Linked DNA regions of Oreochromis niloticus. The protein of the gene in region 2 interacts with the protein of the main gene of each other region in a biochemical or structural test. Links are inferred from orthologs where the notes say so. Each region holds a gene or a part of one and is shown on either strand. Other genes may lie near its edges.

Evidence for each region.
Region 1: the proteins of mutyh (region 2) and apex1 form a complex in vitro, tested with the Homo sapiens proteins (3 studies listed by BioGRID and IntAct, with this or other methods). The link is inferred for Oreochromis niloticus from reciprocal best matches to the Homo sapiens genes MUTYH and APEX1.

The regions. Positions count from the first base shown.
Region 1 is NC_031981.2:36,234,450-36,241,557, reverse strand, and holds the start of apex1 (DNA repair nuclease APEX1), read left to right. Parts: upstream 1-4,017; 5' UTR 4,018-4,160; intron 4,161-5,426; 5' UTR 5,427-5,497; coding exon 5,498-5,558; intron 5,559-5,664; coding exon 5,665-5,828; intron 5,829-5,909; coding exon 5,910-6,102; intron 6,103-6,482; coding exon 6,483-6,997; 3' UTR 6,998-7,108. Other genes in the region: osgep (tRNA N6-adenosine threonylcarbamoyltransferase), read right to left, coding at 608-673, 797-875, 978-1,027, 1,128-1,223, 1,370-1,545, 2,275-2,394, 2,491-2,605.
Region 2 is NC_031986.2:43,626,038-43,633,733, forward strand, and holds the start of mutyh (adenine DNA glycosylase), read right to left. Parts: upstream 3,024-7,696; 5' UTR 2,889-3,023; coding exon 2,792-2,888; intron 2,394-2,791; coding exon 2,263-2,393; intron 2,073-2,262; coding exon 2,033-2,072; intron 1,948-2,032; coding exon 1,874-1,947; coding exon of another isoform or gene 1,863-1,873; intron 1,783-1,862; coding exon 1,741-1,782; intron 1,653-1,740; coding exon 1,581-1,652; intron 1,474-1,580; coding exon 1,360-1,473; intron 1,268-1,359; coding exon 1,170-1,267; intron 1,086-1,169; coding exon 941-1,085; intron 807-940; coding exon 719-806; intron 644-718; coding exon 461-643; intron 180-460; coding exon 34-179; intron 1-33. UniProt on the Homo sapiens protein: Involved in oxidative DNA damage repair. Initiates repair of A*oxoG to C*G by removing the inappropriately paired adenine base from the DNA backbone. Possesses both adenine and 2-OH-A DNA glycosylase activities.

The DNA.
Region 1 (7,108 bases), on a different chromosome or scaffold from region 2:
CTTTGAGTTCTGGATAGTTGGTCACACACACACACACACACACACACACACACACACACACACAAAACTTTCAGGACATTGTATAGAGCTGTTGTAGATTTGACCATTGACACTACTTTCTGTCTTATTTTAAACAAACTAACTGATCAATTCAGTAATAAAACTTTAATTTATCTATTAGCTAAAACTCTCATAACTCTCGCTAAAACTAATTGATAAAATAAACTAAAATAAAAAAAGAACAAGCTTTTCACACACACTGATTTGAACATAAAGTCGTTTTGTGAAACTTATAAAAGTGTGAAACCTCCTCTGGGCTGCTCCTCAAACAAACCAAATCACACTTTTCAGTAAATTATACAATGTACAAAACCTGGTGAACCAGCTGCCAGAAATAAGCTCCAGTTGCACTTGAAATGAGAAGGAGCATTTTTGTTTCAGAAATATGTTCTGACAATCTTATAAAGTCAATGAGAAAAACTCCTTTAAGGTGTTTTATCAGAGGATAACTCCACTGCAACACCAAAGGTAACTGGATCAAATGTTTTCCACCTAACCAAAATATGAACTTTCTGACTTTCGTGTGTATAAAGGCGCTATGCTGTACCTGAAGTGAGAAACACAGGTCTTCTGCTGTACACTGACCAGAGCTCAGCATCTTATGAGCAGCATCCTGTGGAAGGAATATAAACGTAAAGAACGTAAACCAAAAGTATTTCACGCCTTGCCTTGCAGCCATGATGCATGAGATAATCAATATGACACAACCAACTTTACAGAAGAGCAAAGGACTTACTTCAATGTAGGACAAAATGCCAGAAAAGGACACATCCATGCCCTTTACTGTATATGGCAGCTCCACATACTGACTCCCTCTGGCAATGTGGAGCGAAAGCCAAGTTTAGAATAAACATTAAAAAATATTAAAAAACATAAAGAACACTAAATATTCACAACTATTCAGTGATCTCACTCACTTTTTGGCCATCTGCTCTATGTTGTAGCCTGGACTTGGATCATTGGAAATCTGAGTGTAGAAATGGTTTCATACAGAAGTATGATCACACATCTGTTGCACTAAGTGAAATTCAACTTGATGATTTTATGTTGAGAAGTATGACACAAACCTTAATAACTCTGGCAAACCTGTCTAAACAGTTGCCGACTGCAATGTCGATGGTCTCCCCAAATATTCGGTACCGCCGCTCTGAGTATGCAATAACCTGCACAAAATTCAGGATGAACAAAACTCAAACTGCATTTCTACTTCAAATATACTGCTGTTTAGCTGACAGCTGCTCATCAGAAAATGCAGTGTAGTCGTTCTGTGCCAAAAAGCTCTTCATGAGGCTTACAGGGAGGAACCAACCTGTGTATTGCCCCCGCTAACATAAAGCACGGTGGGGTTGTTGGCTTTGGTGATAAGTCGTCCCATCTCTATGTGTCCGATACAGTGGTTCACACCGAGCAGCGGCTTTCCCCAAAGCTGTGCAACTGTGCGTGCCACTAGAGCCACCGTCACCAAGGGTGCACCCATACCAGGACCTGAAGGAGAACAACTTATTGGTTAGGTCTTCTACAGACATCAGTCAAGAATCACAGTCCCTTTATTTCAATTCATATCTTAAAGACCTTTTAGTACAATAATATTCCTACAGAGCACTTTGCTCTCAGGTTGCAGGCTTAATTTAAGTTCCTAGAGTTTATAAAAATAGAATGGGAGCCAGAGCCTTCAGCTCTCAGACTCCTCATGATCTGATTAAGCTTACTTTTTGGTTATAGTTGATAACTAGGGCTGGATCAGGTGGTTTTGAACCCTCCATTAGTTATGTTCTTAGAGTCTAAAGCTGCTATAGCACTAAGCTATATTCTCTCTGTCATAGTTTCAAAATATTGAAAAACCCAATATGTAAGATGTAAGACAGATAAGCACGTGTTTCTTAAAGCAGGCCTTAATAGTTGTCAAAGGAAGGATAAATAAGAGAAATTTTGACATGGTCAATTTTCTTTATAAGCTGTGGAGCTTGACAAGTGTTCTTTGGCTTGTTTATTAGGAAAAAACCCCCATCTCTTTAAGCCATCCTTTTTCTGACGGGGAGCTCTTCATTAACGAAGGTCTGAACTTTTTGAGTAACTTGCGATATAAAACTAACGTTTGTTTGTTAACAAACAATCAACTCTCAGTTATTTAAAATCACTATGACCCTTTTTGATGAGAACATGTTTGGATCAATTTTTGACAGACATCTGAAAAGTTAAAATCTTTTATATTACCTTTGGTGTATGCCACACAGTCGATGTCTGCAGGTTTTAGCCCCGCTTGCTCCAGCGCCTCCTTCAGGACGGTTAGTATGAAAGCACGGTGGTGTCTGGCTGTGTCACTTGGCAGGAACCCTGACATATAAAATAAAGCATGCAGTCAACTAACAGATTTTCATACAAGCAGTATGTTGGAGGTATCATTAATATCTTAGAGGAACTCCAACTTACCTTGACCCGGAGGTGTAATGTAAGTCCGTCTGGGGTTGGAAAGCACTTCCCCATCCCTGATTATGCCTATGCCGATCTTATTGGCACTGCCCTCAAATCCAATCACTACAGTCATGGCTGCAGAAAAAACTGTTTCAGAAAGAAGGAATTCACTGTGTTGTTATAGTGTCTTTTGATTTAAACCTTTCATCTCTCTTAGAAGTCTATTACAGGCAAGAAAAAGGCACAATAAAACTAAATCAGATTATACTAGAAAATTTTGAACTGGACATCCACATATCTAAATATGTCTGGTATGGTAACTGCACCGCATCAGATCGCAATACCCTACAACGGATAGTGAGAAAAGCTGAGAAGATCATTGGAACCTCTCTTCCCTCCAGCACAGACACTCATCGCACCCACTGCATCCACAAAGCCACCAGCATTGTGGAGGACCCCATGCACCCCTCACACACATTCTTCACCCTGCTGCCTTCTGGCAAGAGGTACCGGAGCATTTGGACTCTCACTGCCAGACTGCAAAAAAGTTTCTTCCCCAAAGCCGCCAGACTACTGAACACTCAGTGACTGGACTGACACATGCACACACACACACATACCTTCATACACGTAACTACCTAAAGCACTCATCTGCACAATCTCATACACACACCTTCATACATCAAGTTAATTTTTGCACAACCCACTGTCATTGTTGCCCTTTTCTATTGCACTGTTGTGTCTGCACTGTCTTGTGTCTGTATCGTTCTGTTCTGTCTGGTGTTGCACTGTCTTTGTTTTGTTGCAATTTTTGCATACCTGCACATTATGTAGTCATGTGTTGCTTGTCTGTTATATGTTATATGTAGCACCATGGTCTTGGAGGAACATTGTCTCGCTTCACTGTGAACTGTAACACTGCACAAGGCTGAAATAACAATAAAGCCACTTGACTTGACTTGACTTGACCACAGTAAAACACAATCAACACCAAAATTCAAGATTCAAATTATTTAGCAGCAAACATTTTTATGCAGATAACATGTTATCGCACGCATTTTTATTAACCCTGACAATATACCTTTAACCTACATATTTCCACATTAAACGTTTGGACAATCAATACGTAAAAGAACCAAAGCACAAGCATCCTGATAGCTAATTAGCTCCTATGCTAACCGCCAGAGAACAGACCGACTTTTTTCCAAAAGTAAATTTATGGTGATGCGGTTTTAAAAACAAAATATATTTACCTACTTTTTTTTAATTTCCTTCTGTAGGTCACATTGATCTTAATTCATATCACTTTAACTTTTACGCACGTAAACTTAATTGACTGGGCTAATTTCTGTAGCTCAACTCCTCCATAACGAAGCCCAGAGGACCCAAACACTGGGAGGTACACATTTTGCCTTAACATAAGACAACGTAAAAACAGAGCCTTACTTAACTAACATGTCACGGTAATACATTGTGTAACTTATAGCAGCAAGTACGTATTTATTTTTCAAGAAGACATACAAATATTGAATTTTTCTCGGTAATTTTCAGGCATGTATTTAGACAGTCAGTAGTTCAGCAAAGCACGTGGACAGAAGTCTTAGCTGTGCTGTGGCGCGTGTGTTTGGGGGGGGAGTGCCTGGGAAGCAGCAGTTGTCTGGGCTTTACATCCTGTTGTGAAAGTGCAAGTAAGGTTATTTGCATGTCTTTTCCATGAAACGTGTTTGAAATGAAGACGCTAATTATTTTTCAGCGCATTTGCATTCGTTGATAATCAGATAAGCTCGGAGGGAGGCTTGTTAGCTGTCTGCTTATTCTCCATTCATTCTCGGCGTAGGCCGCCTGCTTTCTTTGTCAGAGAGGAAAAGCTAGCGGTAGCTGCTGTTAGCTAAACTTGTTGTTTAACATGGCAAACTTCCTAATAGCTCATTCTGTTGCTGTTAAATTATATGAATGCATTAATTTTACATCAGCTGGTCGCCAATTCTACAATGTATTGAATTTAAAGCACTCAACCAGAGACTTGAACTGAAACAAAAGCTCATCTCGCTTCCGCTTTGTCAGAAAATGTGATTAGGATGTAAATAGTCACATTGAAGTCGGCCATTGTAAGTCTAATTCTCGGCATACAGACAGAGAGAACTAGAAAAACTAGCATCAGAATGATGAATTGGCCGATATTTACTTACTGTACGTATTTATTGATCCTGTGCACTATGTTTATGTTCGGTTATTTTTGTTTTATGTATGTTTATGTGATAAAAGGACTTAATTTTATCCAAATTGTTAACTGTCAAACATAAACATTGATATCAGCATCATCTGTCCAGTATTAGTTACTTTTATTAATAATACATTTCAGATGTAGTTAAGCCACTCCGCAAGGTTTTGAATGTAACCTTGAGCATCTTTGAATATACATATAAGTCAGCAACTGCTGATCGTACTGGTGAAATTTCTTCAAAACATCTCTGGTGTACCTGCTACCTTTACAGTGTTGAAACCTTTTCCATTTTTCTTCTGTTTTTTTTCCTTTAATTTCCGTTTCTAGTTTTGACCATGTTGGCCTTAATCGTGTTTACAGATCTGTATTCAGCCAAACTACTTATATAAATGCTCTGCTAAATGAATTGAATTTTAATTTATATGATATGAATGAATTAAAACTTGAACTTGCGCTGATTTTCTGAATTTGTCTTGATTCAGAAAAGAGCTGGTCGCAATTTTCCAGAACACAATATGATTGTTTCAGACTGCTGTGGGTAACATTTTAAAACGCTGATTACGTGTACACAAAGACATAAAACTGGAAACGTAACAAATCCTCAATGTTGAGATTTAGTTTTCCATTATGTATGAGATTCCTTCCTGTGTGTCCTGCATACTGGTGCAGCATTTGACCTTTGTGCACTGAATAGATGCATTACTTAAATTGTAATTGTTTTGTTTTTCAGCGGCGCGTGTGGTGTTGTGTGTGCGTGTTGTGTGTCTGCGAGGTGTGCTTGCCGTCAGAGTGAGTTCAGGTATGAAGAGGGGCAAGAAGGCAGAAGAGGCAGCTGCGGAAGGAGAAAATGACACAGCCTCTGGTACTACCAGCATGCCCTGATGAACTGAAATGCACTTTTCCTTTACTATAGATTTTCCAACATCATCTATTATCCAACCCTGTGTTATTTGTCTTTCATTTCACAGCTCCTTCAAAGAAAGCAAAGGCAGCCAAGGAACCAGAGGGTCCGATACTGTATGATGACCCTCCTGACAAAATGACCAGCAAAGATGGACGCAACGCAAACATGAAGATCACGTCATGGAATGTGGATGGGCTGAGGGCCTGGGTTAAAAAGAAGGGCCTGGATGTGAGTTTGCTGTCTGGAGAAACATTAATTAGCTAGTTTTGAGACTGATTGATCCTAACAAGCACATTTGTCTTTTCCCAGTGGGTGCGAGAGGAGGATCCAGACATTTTATGCCTACAGGAGACAAAGTGTGCAGAGAAAGCCCTCCCTGCTGAAATCACCTCAATGCCCGAGTACCCTCACAAGTACTGGGCTGCATCAGGTGACAAGGAGGGTTACAGTGGGGTGGCTATGCTCTGCAAGACTGAACCCATCAAAGTGACCTATGGAATTGGTAAGGGTGAACTTTGTGTTCTGCTTAGTTATTTATGATGCCCAGAAATGGCAAAAAAACATGTACAGCAACATTTTAAACATGTGAAATCTTCTATGTTTGAAGTAAATTATTCTTTGAAATTATTAGTGGATAACCGCAAATAGGGACTGTTTAGCATGAAGCCCCATTGGTAGTTTAGAAGGTTCTCCCATAATGAGCACATTGTGTGTGATTACCAGATTCCTGCTCTTGAAAAACTGATGTTTTTGCCTTATCAGCATAAAACTTTAGATGAAACCAACAGAGACATTTTTGGTATGCTTTACCAACACATTAAACCTATACAAACAGTTTAAGTACTGGTGAAGCAACTGATATCATTTTGACTAATGTTCTAGGCAAAGAAGAGCACGATAAGGAGGGCCGTGTCATCACTGCCGAGTTTCCCAGCTTCTACCTGGTGACGGCCTATGTGCCAAACGCTAGCAGAGGCCTCGTTCGCCTCGATTACCGCAAAACCTGGGACGTGGACTTCCGTGCATACCTGAGTGAGCTGGACATGCAGAAGCCCCTGGTGCTGTGCGGAGATCTCAACGTTGCTCACCAGGAGATCGATCTGAAGAATCCCAAGGGGAACAAGAAAAATGCTGGCTTCACCCCCGAGGAGCGCGAAGGCTTCAGCCAGCTCCTGGCGGCAGGTTTTGTCGATAGCTTCCGCGAGCTGTACCCCGAGCAGACCAACGCCTACACCTTCTGGACCTACATGATGAACGCCCGCTCAAAGAACGTGGGTTGGAGGCTCGACTACTTTGTGCTGTCGTCCTCTCTGCTGCCGGGCTTGTGCGACAGCAAGATCCGCAACAAGGCGATGGGGAGCGACCACTGCCCTATCACTCTGCACATAGCTGTGTAAGCTCACTCTGAGGTCAAAAGGCTTTGCACAACCTTCAGTCTGCTTATACGTCTGTTTCAACCTGTATTCTCTGGTCACTCTGAGGCATCTTCTCTATGTACTGCTAAAACT
Region 2 (7,696 bases):
AGATGACAGAGAGGGTCTAAATATCAAGCTTACCTCTCCCACATACTGCAGGAGGTTTTCAGTTAAATGCGTTCCCAGTATTCTGCTGATTTCCTCGCAGAGCGCCCCCTTCTGTTTCTTCTCAGAGTTTTCGACCTCAAGCAGAAGACTTGGAAACTCCCACAAGCCTGCCAACAAACCTGAAAATACACACGTTTACTTGCAGAATTTATCCATGCAGCCCACCCAGACAGATTTACTTACTTTTACCGGTTTTTATGTGTGTCTGTATCAAGCTGCACAATGACTGAGACATCTACCAGAATTAGAGCCTGCCTCCAGACCAATGCATCACTCCTAACACTAACAGTTTTCTCAGTGATTCAAGTAGTCTGATTCAGTCTCGTTATCAGGACAGAATTGTGTGCATTCTGAATCCAACGCTTGACCAGCACAAGCTGATGTGGCAATCAGTGCTAACCTTTGCTTGGCCTCTGTATGAGCAGGAACTTTTCTTCCCCGTCATCTCCAGGCCTCTTCACCACACAGGTAAGAGTTCGCTCCACTCGGGGTGGCTTCTTCGACGGCTTTCTGGGGAAGTTCTGAACACCCAGCTCATCATTCCAGGGCTCCGAGGGACACAGGGGACATGTTACACTGTTCGCTTCACATATAGAAAGATACTTTTAATTTCAGGACTATACAGACATCTGAGAGGTCTGAAGGGAAGGAGACTTACTGCAGTCTTCTATGTCAGGCAGCTTTGAAGTCTTTGTACCCAGCTTCCCCAAAAGATTCTTAGACTTTTGCTCTTGTTTGACATGAACCTGTGCAGACACACAATGTGCACCCATGCCATTAACTGCAGAGAATCTTTTCTAATCTGTGTTAGCATTGTCTTCTTCTGTGTTCGCATAATCGGACCTTAGTGGTACCAGTCGCAATTTGAAATCATCCCAACCTTGTGATAAGAGTGACAGTGAGACTGTACGGGGCACTGACTGCACAGTGGCCCTTTAGGGGTGCAGACTCGTGCTCCCAGCTCCATCATGGCCTGGTTAAAGTCTCCAGGTCTCTCAGGATCCACCAGCATATTGGCCAGATTCCTTAAACACAAGAGAAATAAAAACATTCAAAAGCTTTCCGTTTATATATTCCCACAATTATTTTGGTTTGGAGGTGAATCTCACCAAAGTGCCTCTGTTACTGCTGGACTTGTGCTGTCAGCTCCAATCGCCCTCAGGCGACACAGCACCCGAATGACATTACCATCCACAGCTCCGGTAACCTAGACAAGAGAGATCACATCACTTATGCGTGATTAATAAGAGAGTACCTAAGACTTTGCTCTGCTGCAGATATCCATGTCTAATGACCCACCAGCCCCTGTGCAATAGAGCCTATAGCTGCAGCAGTGTAGCGTCCCACTCCAGGCAGCTGTTTGAGCAGGCTCTCAACCGTCCGAGGCATCTGTCCCTTTAGCTCTGACACCACCTAAAGGAAATCGAACATATAATGAACACTCAAACACAGAAGGTATGAGACGTTTCTGCAGACATACTATTTAGAAGTGTTAGATAAAGGGAAGAACACAATCAGACCTTCTGCGCTCCTTCATGCAGCCTTCTTCCACGGGAGTAGTAGCCCAGGCCTGCCCACATCTGATTCACCTCCTACCAATCAACACAATCAGTACATTCACATTAAAAACATCATCATTTTAAAATCATTGTATGTGCATTTGCTGCTTTAAGTCATCACCTCTAGAGTTGCAGCTGCAAGATCCTGGACTGTGGGCCACCTCTGGAGCATAATAAATAGAAGCTTTAAGTTGCACACAATGAAATCAATGTCACAAGAAGTCCAGTGCACAAAAAACCTACACGATGCAAACCTTCATCCACTTGTTGTAATAGTCTTTTACTGTGGCAACCTGAGTCTGCTGCAGCATTATTTCTGAAACCCATACTGAAAAAAAAGCACATGCACTTAGACGTTTAAGCAGCAGTTAAAGATGTGTACATTTGTCAAGAATCCACCTAACTCTTCTCACCTCCATATGTCCTGATGTTGATGTCTGACTCTGTTATAGCCTGTAGAAAGTAACGAAAGGCAAAAAGCTACAAATTTCCTCTGAGAAAAAGACTAAAAATACGACAGAAACCACCAAAACACTGACATGGCAGAACCGTTAACTTTGAACCAAACTTATTTCTATATCATATGTTACATTAATGTATATTAATGATGACAACGAAGTAGTATAATATAGTTTCTTTTTACCAGAGTCCTCCATGGCAGCTCTCTCTTCTCCTTGTTGTACCAGTTAAGGAGTTGAGAGCGAAAGCGGACAACATCAGCAGGATCAGGGAAAGTGTGGTACGGAGATGGTGAGGAAGCATCTGTGGTTTCCTCTGGAAGACCAAAAACACAATGCTCACTCAGACTAAAGAAATCCCACTGAAATCTTATTTGTCTATTGTGCTGTTATTAAACGTTTCTATTGTATACTATAATAATTATGATTATTAGATTGAAACAAGTCCCATCAGATATTCATGCCATTTCTTGCAGCAGTACCAAACTTTACCTAACACATGAGCCTGCAGGACACGGTTTGGCTGCGCAGGACGCATCTCTACTGCTGTAAATTCTGAAGCTGCCAAAACATTCTGGCACTGCTTAAACAGTTTAGCAGTTCGTTTTTAGCATCACCTAAAGTGATGTGTTTACTTTCAAGTATGCAATGAAAGCTGAAATGTAGATCTCTCTATGACGCGCAGATATGAAGTAACAGCAGCATGGTGGCTACCTTGTTTCTTTGACTTCTTCCGCTTCGGTAATGCGCTTTCTACCACCTCCACTCCGGCTCGCTTGCCTTTCTGCATCGCTGAACGTAACCTGCTCATAATCAGAAATAATATAAAGCAACCTATTCTGTTTCTGTCCGCACAGCAGGACCAGACACGTTTGCTTCATGCATTCATTTCTGGCTCCCGCCACGTTAAGGAGTGATGGTCCCGGCTCATCCAATCAGCTGTGAGGAAACCCATTACGTACGCTAACGTCAACTCCGGTGGGCGGGTCAAAATAAGACCAGTCATTTCTTTATATTTTGCTAGAAAGAAATGATAATAGGTAGAACGATTTATTGAAACGTAGGCAAACATACATGGAAATACAGCATATAAGTCAAAAACAGAGTCTATAGACTCTCTTAAACAGCTTCCTTGTAATTTATTTAAGTAGCCTTCAGGAATAGTTTTCCAGGTTGCTTGAACGAAATGCAAAGCTCTTCTCTGGATATTGGCTCCCTTTCTGATCTGTGTCAGGATGATCCCACATTGCTTCAATAATATTGAAGTACAGTCTCTGAACCTGCAGCCAATCCATGATTTAGAGAACCCTACTCTGTGTCTTTTGCTCCATTGGCTGTGTTTGGGACCATTTTCATGTTGAAAAATGAAGCAGCTGCAAATCCGATTCTTTCCAGATGGCATCACCACAGCCCTACCCAAGGAGCTGCAGGTGTCCTTCTATACACACTGTGTTGAATCTGTACTGGCATATTGCATACCAGTGTGGGCTGCCAGCAGTCCAGCACTCCAGAAGGTCATAACACGACACAGAAGATCATCACCTGGTTGAGCTGTTACCCTCAGGTAGATGCTACAGGACAACTAAAGCTAAAATGAGGAGACTGAAAAACAGCACATATCCTAGGATGTTGCAATAATAAATAATAAATAACAAACAACAAATGAACAGTGTTATGCCCCCTTTGACTCAAACACACACACACACACACACACACACACACATATATATAGATATATAGATATATATATCTATATATATATATATATATTAGTATTAAACACTTCACCAATTTCTAAGCATATTTTTAAAGTTGCTATTGACATGGAATCCTCAACAGATTCTTTGGGTCCCTTCTATGAACTCTGAGATTTTTAAGTGGATTCAGGTCAGGTGACTGCTGGGCCATTCTAGCAGTTTTATTTTCCTTCTCTGAAACCAAGTGCGAGTTTCTTTGGCTGTGTGTTTGGGGTTATTGTCTTGCTGAAACGTCCGCCCTCATTTCATCTTTATCATCCTTGTAGATGGCAGCAGATTTTTATCAAGAATGTCTCGGTACATTTTTCCATTCATTCTTCCTTCAATAATATAAAGCGTGCCAGTAACGTATGCTGGAAAAAGCCACACACCATGATGTGACCTGTTGTTAAGGTGTTTTTGGAGAGATATGCAGCGCCTTTTGACCTCCAAACATGGTGTGTATTACAGACTCCAAAGAGTTCAGTTTTAGTCTCATCTGACCAGACTATATTCTCCCAGTATTTCACAGGGTTGTCTAAATATGTCTATAATTATGTGGTGAGTGTGCATACAGGCCATGGTGGTTGACAGCACTACTTATAGTTTTCTTTGAAACAGTTGTACCTGCTTATTCCAGGTGTTTCTGGAGCACTTCATGAGTGGTCCTTGGCTCTCGGCAACTCTTTTGATAATTACCCGCTGTGTTTGCTGTATGTGAGTTTACTTGTGTCAAAATTGGGGACTTCTATCAGCTCACACACCAGTACCCCTCTCCCTTTGGGGACCAAAACCACCGTCCGCAATTAGTTTTACCTCTAATAATGTTCAGCATGCTCTAAAACATGTTTTAATCCAAAAATCTCCCCTGTCCCCAAAAGTGACATTCTTTGGATTTTTTATGTATGTGTATGATGTTCTCTCACAACAATCTGTGTATAACTCTATGATGCCCCTAGTGGAAGAGTATGATATTGCAAAGATTTGTATGAATAGTTTTATAAGACTTTAAGACTTTATAAGACTTAATTGATCCCACGACGGGGAAATTTTTGCGTCACCTCAGCTCAGGTACAGATATCAGAAGGAAATACAAAAAAAAAAAAATACAAATAAGTACAATCAATGAAAAAAGTAAGATAATACACTATATACAATGGTAGCACACACAGTATGTGATTATGGATATGGTTGGAAATATGGAAGACATAAACTATATCGCTTGATATAGCTATTGTACCACTGTACAGCTATTTATATAAATAAACTGATATTTTCTTGACTAAACAATAGAAGTCAGTACATTATTTGTTAGCAAGTAGTTGAAAATTGGAAATTTGCTTTTTTTTCCCTTTAATCACAAATACTTGAGTCATGATAACTATGTGACACTTTATAGCTGTATTGATAAAAAAAAAAAAGCCACTGTAAATTATGCTGAGATTACAGCGCATTTATGCTGAAGACACACACTTAGATGAAAGTGTGAAAGACTGCAGCTGCTTTCTTATAGCATATATCTTAGAGTCTTCTTACAGCAGTTGTGCCAGCAAGTGAAATATGCCATCATCTGATGGAGCATGAGCTTTAGAGCCAGTTATTAACAAAGTTCAACAAGCTGGTAATGAAGGCTGACACTGTTTTAGGTAGTTCTCTGAAACCTCTAGAGACAATTGTGCAAAGATGTAGGATTTGGCTAATTATTAGGACTTACATACTTCATATTTCAGCTGGTGCTTGATTTTAGTGTTTTTCTCCCCAGCAAGTTAAAGTGCGTTGTGCAGAAAAAGGATTGTAGTGAGAAATTTTTTCTATTTTTTAAACAAAAATCTGAGTGGAAGAGAAATCCAGAAATCTTTAAATTAAAAAATAAATGGCAGCACTAGGCCCCTGTCTATGTAGCTCCAGTACTCTGTACCTCTTGAGGTTCAAACTGCACAACCTTCACCAATAATACAACTATGATGTAATTATTTTGTTTGATTATATATAAATCTGCATTTGATTTTTTTTTTTAAATGGTATGGCAAAAACACCCCTAGGCCATACATTACAAATGGAAAATCCCAGAATCAGCTTGGTTATATAAGGCTTAGGAGGCTACCTGCTCTGGTTTGGCATTATGCCTTGGAAAAACATTCGAAGGTAAGACAAAAACAAACAACACAAACACAAAAGGTCTTACTGTTGCAAAACATACTAATGGCAATCTTTATTGCTACCAGTTAGTGACATTTAAGATATAATCCAGAAGTGGAATTGACCTTTATGCACATGTTCAAAGCGGAACTTTTTGATGTCATTGTGCACACCATGTTTGGAGAAAGAATGGTTCTGCATATCACCCCGAAAAACAAAATGCAAAAAAGCTTTGTATGCCCAAAGCAAGAGCTGTGTCTGCATTCTTGGCACAATGCTGAGCTTGTTCCCGCGGCAGGTTAAGCTATGCCTGAGCTGGCCCTTGTCACCAATTCTGTTTGTGGTTTTTATGGATGAAATGGTGTCTAGTTTGTGAACCTTAGGGTCTCATCTATTGGCCAATAACATGGTACTGTTGGCTTCTTAAGGCCATGACCTTCAACGTGCACTGGATTAGTTTGCAGCTGAGTGTGAAGCAGCTGGCATTAGAGTTAGCTCCTTTAGGTCTGAGGCTATGGTTCTGGAACAGAGAAACCCCTCTGGGTTGGAGGTCACTCTCTGCCTCATGTGGACAAGTTTTAGTATCTATGCTTGTTTACAAGTGATGTTAGGATGTAGCAGGAGTTGGAGGTCGGATTCCACAGTAATGTGGAGGTAGCAACGGTCTGTTGTGATAAAGAAACAACTGAGCCAAAAACAAAGCTTTCAATTTACAAAGGTGTCTATGTTCTGTCCCTACAACACATTATCACTCCTAACTCTTCATATATGGACACTTGGTCAGGGTCCTTCTGCTTCACTTATCAACATGCCGGGTACCCCCCTCGCGTCATGAATTAACTTGCAGGGTACTCTTATTGTATACTATAGAGCTCCCTAAACGTTGGTAATTGATGACAAGAGACTGCCGCAGAAGAGCCTGTTGTCCCTATATTTATACATTTCCGAAATCACATTGTAGTGACTTATACTGACCACAACAAATTATACAATGTAAACAACTACCTGAGAGAAACAGCAGATACGGCAGATAAACTAATTACAGGCTATTACGTTTGTATCGGTTATTGCATTGCTGGAGGGAGTGGTGTATGCTGGAAGTAGCAGTTTTGGAGTGAAATGTTTCGTGTTTCATGCAATGCTCAGAAATCTTTTACTTTTTTTTTTACTTTGTTACAGACACGTCTTCCTGCAACTGTTAGCAGCACTTCAAATGAGCCATATTGCTCAAAGGGGCACAACTGTTGTTTCTCATTTTGTTTTTGCACTCAGGAAAAATGCTGCCGTGTTCAGACAACAAATACAAAGTTTTGCACATCATTACTCAATTGTGACTTAGTGTTCTATCGAAATTTAAAACGAATGTCCTCATATGTGGATATAATTTTTCTCAGAAATTACATCAGGTAAAAAGATAATTCTTTGTTTTTACAGAGGCATTAAAAATGCATGCCATGAAAGAGTTCGGGTCTTAGGAGGTTAAAATTTAAATAATTCTTCAAAATAACTGTTGAAATAATTGCTGCCTTTAGTGGCTGAACAATAGGACATGCTTTTAGCAGGACGTACCATCTATTTTAAATTAACCTGATGATGGTTCATTCAGGTGTGTGTGGTGTATTACTGGTTTGGTGTGTGCGTCTCTATAAAAAAAATACCATCCATATCAATAATACCAGAAAATAAACACAAGTTAATAAATATTTTTAAACACATTGTCTTCACTGGATTATTAGGAGGAGAA